Linked DNA regions of Canis lupus familiaris. The protein of the gene in region 2 purifies or fractionates together with the protein of the main gene of each other region. This does not show direct contact. Links are inferred from orthologs where the notes say so. Each region holds a gene or a part of one and is shown on either strand. Other genes may lie near its edges.

Region 1 (3,747 bases), on a different chromosome or scaffold from region 2:
AATTATATGTGTGACCTTGGTCAAGTCATAACTCCCGTGTCTTAGTTATTTCACCCTATTCTGTATTTCTGTAATTCTAAATAGTTTAATTAACAGGCATTTAACATGTTTTAATCAATCCAAAAGGTAATAAGCCATAAACACTAAATATTCCATAAATAAGCACAAGTGGCTATAGGAGAATATTAATAAAATGGTTTCCATACCCACAAAGATTACTCCTAATCCAACCTGATGTTTCACAAACTCAGATTCCTTAGACGCAATCAGGAACCAAGTGAGGGAATGGAAAAAAGGGGTCAGCACCCTCTGTTACTGACACTGGGGGGAAAAAAATTCAAATATCCAGCTGACAATGTATCAGGCATTTCATGCCAGTAAATGCCTAATACATAAAATACTATTGTCTAAACAGGCTAGTACTGTGAAAAGAAAACAATATTCTCTAAACAGACTAATGTTTTGAAAAGAAAAGATCCAATACTATTCTTTTTCTTCTATACCAAGTCAAAACATTTCTGGATTCTTTAAAAAACAAAACAAAAAAAAAACAAAAACCTGTCCTATTCTTTTAACAATTCAAATTGGTGGAAACAGAAAACAAGATGCTTCACCCGTTGACACGTGTCTCCTAAAAGAAAAAACGCCATTTCCTTTTTCTTCCTTCTGAAGACCAGCTATTTGGAAAACTAGTGTCCCTGATGTTATAACTCTATCAAGTCTTTAAAATCCAGGAAATAACAAAACCCTCAAATATTTACCGTGATTTTTATTTTCCCTGCAACTTACATCAGCCCATCTGAAACATAAATTCTAAATCAAAGAGCCGGCTTAACAAAATGTTCCAATTTAAGATACACGAGGCTAAAGCAAACACATCCAAAGCCTATTTCTAGTCTGGCTTTTGCTTTTCTGGTTTTCTCTTTAAAAAGAGATTTATTGGGGCAGCCCCGTGTGGCTCAGCGGTTCGCGCCTGCCTGGGGCTCAGGGCCTGGCTCAGGGATGGAGTCCCACGTCGGGCTCCCTGCATGGGGTCTGCTTCTCCCTCTGCCTGTGTCTCTGCCTGTGTGTCTCTCAGGAATAAATAAAATATTTTTAAAAAAGATTTATTTGACCTATTTTCATGTGTTTTTAGGGCACTCGGATACTCAAGACAAACAGTATTTGTTGGTCATGGAAACGGCAGAGCCAGCATCATAAATCCTGTTACTCCTGGGGGTCATCTTCGTGTGTCCCACACTTCAGGTCTTTTTAGGAGTCCAAACACAGACTTGTCATTTGCTAAAAAGACAAAAAGTCTTAAGCCCTCCGGTGTCTGTAATCCTACAGCGCTTTCAACGCCAGTGTTACGCTTTCACATCCCATCTGAAAAGTACACACACCGGAGGTGGGGGTGGGTGGTGGTGCCCGGGGCACCTGAGACGTCAGGCTCTGAAGACAAGGCTTTTCCCATCATTTCTTGGCTGGCTTCCTCCCCCGACTCATCACTGCTCCAACATCACAGAAAATCTCCCTGAAACAGAAACCTAAGTACTTGTGAAACTTGAAAAGCGTCCCTGAACCGGCGCTTGGGGACAGAGAAACAGCGGCACAGACCAAGTGGGGCCCGGGGAACGCTGTGGGGGCCCGACGGGGCGTGACCCCGCGGGGACACGGGCGACCGCCCAGAGCCGCGCTCAGACGGGCGGGGGGGGGGGGGGGGGGGGGGGGGCGCGGGGCGACCCAGGCAACCGAGAACAAAGCGGCGGCCTCCGCCTCCAGGACGCCCTCCCGGGGGGGGGGGGGGGGGGGGGGCTCACGGGGCTGCAGGCGCGTCCACTGCTCCGGAGCTTTGCTCATCATCACCCAAACAAGGACCAAGACACGAAGACGCGGCGGTCTCACGGAGGGCAAGGCTGAGGGGCTGCTCTGGGTGTTGGGCAAGACCCGGACACTCGGGAGGATGGGGGGGATGGGGGGGATGGGGGGAGGAGGGGAGGGGGGACGATGGGAAGGACGGGGGGTGGATGGGGAGGATGGCGAAGAGGGGAGGATGGGGGGAGGATGGGGAGGAGGAGGATGATGAGGAGATGGGGAGGGAGAGACAGAGGGGGGGAGGATGGGGAAGAGGGGAGGATGGGAGGGGGAAGGATGGGGGAGGAAGGGGGAGGATGGAAAGGGGAGGGGGGGGAGAGGAAGCAGCCAAAAACGCTCCGGAGACAGACACAACGAGGGACCGCATGCCCCGGCTGCGCGGCGTCCCGAGGCCCGGGAGGCCGCCCCGCGGGAGCAGCAGGACGCCCCGGGCGGAGGCCCGACCCCGCCGCCGACGGGAGGGGAGGGGAGGGAGGGGAGGCTCCGGCGGCTCCGGCGGCCCCGGCGGAAGCGGCTGCGCAGTAATGGCCGCGGCGCCGCCTCTCGCACCCCGGCCGGGGGCAGTGCGGGGCCGGCGCCCGGGGCAGGGGCAGGGGCCATGGCGCCCGTCGCAGCCTTTCCGCCGGCCCCGGCCCTCCGGCGCCCGAGCCGCGGCCCGCCGGCCCAAGGGCGTCCACCTACGTCCCGGCCCTGACCCCGCCGCCGCCGCCGCCCCTCGCAGGCCCGCAGCGCACGGCCCACCGCAGCGCGGCCCGTCCGCCGTGACACCGCGCGCCGCCGCGCCTCGGCCCCGCCAGCAGCCCGCAGCGGCCGGCCCCCCGCCCCGCGAGCGCCGCGCCCCGACTCCCACCTCTCGGGCGGCCGCCGCCGCGCAGGCCTCCCTCTCCGGCCCCGGAGCCCGCAGCGGCCGGGAACGCGCGCGGCCGTCACGTGACCCGCCGTCGCGCCGCGGGGGGCGGGGCCGCGGGGGCCGGAAGTGGAGCCCGGGTCCCGCCCAGGCCCCGCCCAGGCCCCGCCCCGCCCTCCCCGCGCGCCTGCGCCGGCAGGTGCGCTGCTCCGACGCCGCCGCGGGGCGCCTCGCTGGACGCGGGGGCATTTGACACCTGCCGCGTTCGCTGTTGGCGGCCGAGCGATTGGATCGGAAAAAAGACAAAACAAAACTTCATTTCCTTTTGCACCTGTTTTCCTTCGACTGGAGCTTAGGAAGCTGGAGGAAGGGATTGATGAGCAGGAGGGTCTGGGACTAAAGAAAGGGCTTTTCTGGCTGCACCGGTGCGGTTGTGAATGTCAGAACCTGGGCAGTAGCCCCCGCTGCACGGTGGCCTATGCCTTGTCTTCCTCGGAATCCTATGTTTTTTTTCTCGATTTATAGTAAAATGAGGAAGGGGGAATAGCATGCATTGAAACAGTGTATATACATATATATTCCAACACCCCATGTTTCTTACTTGCAGTGCTGTTGCATTTGAAGGTTGCAAATTTTAGGGTCCCTGTATATGGAGAGAGGCCACATTTTTTTTATTCTTCTGAAATAATATTTCAAGGTATATATATATATATATATATATATATATATATATATATATATCAGGATACAGCTAGTTCTGGAAGAGGGCCGCCTGGCTCAGTGATGCTAAATGATGTAAACAAAAGCAGTATTTTTTTAAAAAATAAGTTCTGCTAGTGTAATAATGTCCAGGAGTACGTTCTCCAGCTCTAAGCTTCATCCTGTCTTTGTGTTCTCCTTAGCCACTCCTCTGACCTACACACCCCACGAAAAAAATAAGGCCAAAAATTTGATCCGTACTCAAACATTCCAGCTTTAAGATATAATACTATATGGTTGGCAAATTGAACACCAATAAAAAATAAATTTATTAAAAAAATAAAATC
Region 2 (3,747 bases):
GACATATATAATTATGTATGTATAATTATATAACTTATATATGTACAAAAATGTTCCTAAAAGCATACATCCTCTACCTTCTTGCACAGTAGTGAGTCAACATTCCCAAACAGAAACTGAATTTCCTGAAAAACAGGTTAAGAAGTTAAAGACAACAAGGGAAAAATGCTTGTCAGCATGCCAAAGGTCAACATGTGTCATTTCATGTAACCATACCTCACTTTCACGCAGTTTCCTGAGGCCAGGGCCTGGAGTAGGGAATAGCTGGATCACTACATTAAGCGTGACAATTAACTGTGCGCTTTTCTTTGATGGTCTATATACGTATGCAGACCTATATATGTGTATATGTGTACATATATTAATATGTAATTATATATAATTCGTATATTATATGTAAGTATTATATAAATTAATATATATCAATGCAAACTATTAACCTTTGTCTGCGATGCGTATGCCCACTGTGTCCACACCTCAGCCAAGTCAGTACAATGTTGATACACTCGTGGGCCCGTTCGTAAGTTCTGAGCTAATGACTGTGGAAGAGTAACGTATCAGAACCATCGCTCTCAATTAATTTAGAATCGGAACACACTTTCATCACTTTCCTAACTTACTTTAAATGAACTTGGGGCAGCTCATCCAAACTTCCCACGAAGTGGGAAACAACCCATTCGTTTTCCACATGTGACTCACAAGAAACAACAGAATAGCAGTTGCAAGGCAAGGGAAAAGACAGGAAAGAAAACGGGAAAGAAATCCACCCCCCCCCCCCCCCCCCCCCCCCCCCCAGGAAAGGGATTGTGAAAGTTGAAAAATGGATTTCCACACTAAGAATTCCAAAGCAATACGCCAGATCGCGGGGACACTTCCAAAGGCTCTTTTCAGGGTAATAACAGTAAGGAATTTCAGCTCGGGAAATCCATGCCTTAACAAAGCGAAACAAAACCACCCGGCTTCAGCCTGACCCACTGCAAAGATGGCGGTGGGACGAAGCCCCTTCTCCTCCAGCCGCCGAAGAGCCTCGCCTCACATTACCCACAAACCCCTCCGCGCGGCCTCGGCGCGGAAATCGGTCGGGCCGGTCTCCGATCGCTGCGCACGCGCGGCACCACGTCACCGGCCCTCCCAGGGCTCCGCGGACCTGGCAGGAGGGGCCTTGCCAGCTTCCGCTGCCGCGTCGCTTCAGGGCTGGAACGGCGGGGTCGCGCTGCCTCCGCCACCGAGGGGCAGCCGGGGGTCGCGGGGCCGAGCGAGGGCCGGGCGGTGGCGCGGCCATGGGACTGCGCCGAGCCCGGTGACAGCAGGGAGCCGAGCGGCCCGGGCCCTGTGCGCGTCTCCTTCAGGGGGCCTCGCCCTCTTGCTCGCAGGGCCGGGGCTCCTGCTGCGGTTGCTCGCGCTGCTGCTGGCGGCGGCGGCGGCCAGGATCATGTCGGGCCGCCGCTGCGCCGGCGGGGGCGCGGCCTGCGCTGGCGCGGCGGCCGAGGCCGTGGAGCCAGGCGCCCGCGAGCTGTTCGAGGCGTGCCGCAACGGGGACGTGGAGCGAGTCAAGAGACTAGTGACCCCGGAGAAGGTGAACAGCCGCGACACGGCTGGCAGGAAATCCACCCCGCTCCACTTCGCCGCAGGTAACCGGGACCCACGCCGGCCTCGCCTCGCCTCGCCCTGCACCCCACCTGCCCGTCCCGGCTCTCGGGCCTGAAACCAAACACTCTGCCCCCGTCTTTCCGCCTCGGACTCCGCTGCTGGTCACCCCGCTCTCGTTGATTGGGGACTGAGCGAGGACATGGGGCTAGGGGGCGAGCGTGCCCCACTCAACTGGAATTTTTTTTTTTTTTTTTTTTTTGCTTTGTTTAGTATCAACAATACCTGTACCAACTTCCGGTCTTGCTACTCTAGAAAGGCTTCCATACACAAGAAAGAGTAGGGAACTTAGACCTTGTGATTTGAAAGGCCAATTATCTCCAAAATCTGTCTTTCTTGCAAGTTCCACTATGACTGTTGTCAGTCCTTTGGGTTAAGGGCTTAAAGGCCTTTGTAAAATGCAAGGATGTAATTTACGGGGTCGCTTAATTAGCCATTGACACATTATTGTTAACGGGTTTAGCGGGGTAGTCAGTCATTAGCAAGATTTTGGAGAGTCTAGAACTGCAAGTAGTCGTTTGGGCGAACTGAGATCTAACTTAAGGTGGGTGTGGGTGGGTCGTGGCTGCTACATATACTAGTGGAGGATGAGAGGAAAAGGTAGTGCAGGTACTTTAGCTTAGACCTAGAATTAAAGTTGGGGCCAACCTCGCCTTATTCTGAGATTTAGATCGTTTGAATTACTTTTCCTTTAATATTTACTAGATTGACTTTGTGATATAAAGGTATTAAGTTTAATTGAAGAATCTAGAAGAACTGGGGTGAGACCGTATATTTCCATAAAGCATTTATACTTCTCACTTGGAGAAGAGATTCTAACTATATCCTGATTGAAAATGGGAGTAGGTTCTCATGCTTGTAATAATCTTGTTTTTTTCATTTTGTATTACATGATTATTTAAAATAGTTTTTCGAAAATGTAAAATTTCGAAATGTAAAATGATACCCGTCTTTTGGAGTAGGCACAATGAGAGAAAGTGTAAGAAGAATTTCCTTGTTCACAGACATTGCTTTTACTTGATTTGTTTGCTTTAATTTGTCCTTATTTTAAAATCTGAATACTAGAAGGTATGCTTTATCAGTTACAATTTTGTCAGGTTCCTGTTGGGGAGCCTTTTTAAGAGGGAAGTTGGGTGAGATAGCTAGAAACAGCCTGTGGGTAGCAGAAAGGGAAAGGAGAAAAACACTGAAGTCAAATCTCACCTGTTTGCCATTTTGCTTAAAATTTTGGTGATCAGTGCTGTCTTTTCTCAGCTATTTTGGATTGTCCTGTTTAGCCGTGTAATCAACATTTAAACAACTGATTTGGCAAACTATCATAACTGATAAGTAATCCAAAGGGTAGTGTTACTTAGATTCTGTTCACTTGATCTGTGGGATAAAAATAGCGAAGCAAGATCTTAGTTGCTACCTTTCAAGAATTTGGTGTATTAATGAGTTCACATCTGAAAATAGTAATATTTAGAGGTTATGGGATTAGCTTTTTATTGACCTTGTTCCTCCTCCACCATCCTACCCTTAGTTCTGTCCCAACATTTCAAAGCACTTTTTTACATAGATTTGATGTGGCTCAGACAAATGGAAAATTTGTTTTGGGAACTAACCTATCTCACTATTTACCCAAATTATCTGGTACAGGTTATACAACCAATAATTCAAGGTGTAAAAGCAGAGTAATAAAAATGTCTAATGGCGTACAGTAAACAAGAGCATTAAAAGCCCTGCATTTAAACCCAAGCATATAAGAAACTTAAAAAAATTAGCTTTGTAAATTCAGTCTGAGTTATTCATTAATGAGAGAACCTATTTTAATTTTTAAATAAATTCATCCAGCTGCATTTTCTCCTATATGTGGAAAATGTATTTTATAATCTTCTGTAGATAGTGTCAGTCATATTAACGTGCATGTAAACATGCCATTGGAAACTCAGTGTAGGTGTGGGGACTGTGAAACTGCCTGACCAAGCAGTTTCTTGTGTTTGTACATTGTAGGATAAGCTTGGGGGGGTGGGTGTTTGTTTTAAACCAATTAACATTTGGAGGTTTTTTGGGAGGAGGGGACACATTTTTGTCTTTCTGTTTTGATTTCCAAGGAATAAG

What was found. The genes of interacting proteins can lie anywhere in the genome.
Region 1: the proteins of TNKS2 (region 2) and RNF146 purify together in Homo sapiens (co-immunoprecipitation; 3 studies listed by BioGRID and IntAct, with this or other methods). This does not show direct contact. The link is inferred for Canis lupus familiaris from reciprocal best matches to the Homo sapiens genes TNKS2 and RNF146.

What each region holds. Positions count from the first base shown.
Region 1 is NC_049222.1:66,547,762-66,551,508, reverse strand, and holds the start of RNF146 (E3 ubiquitin-protein ligase RNF146), read right to left. Parts: upstream 2,816-3,747; 5' UTR 2,705-2,815; intron 1,921-2,704; exon of another isoform or gene 1,800-1,920; intron 1,514-1,799; 5' UTR 1,383-1,513; intron 1-1,382. UniProt on the Homo sapiens protein: E3 ubiquitin-protein ligase that specifically binds poly-ADP-ribosylated (PARsylated) proteins and mediates their ubiquitination and subsequent degradation. May regulate many important biological processes, such as cell survival and DNA damage response.
Region 2 is NC_049249.1:6,462,377-6,466,123, forward strand, and holds the start of TNKS2 (poly [ADP-ribose] polymerase tankyrase-2), read left to right. Parts: upstream 1-1,417; 5' UTR 1,418-1,432; coding exon 1,433-1,631; intron 1,632-3,747. UniProt on the Homo sapiens protein: Poly-ADP-ribosyltransferase involved in various processes such as Wnt signaling pathway, telomere length and vesicle trafficking.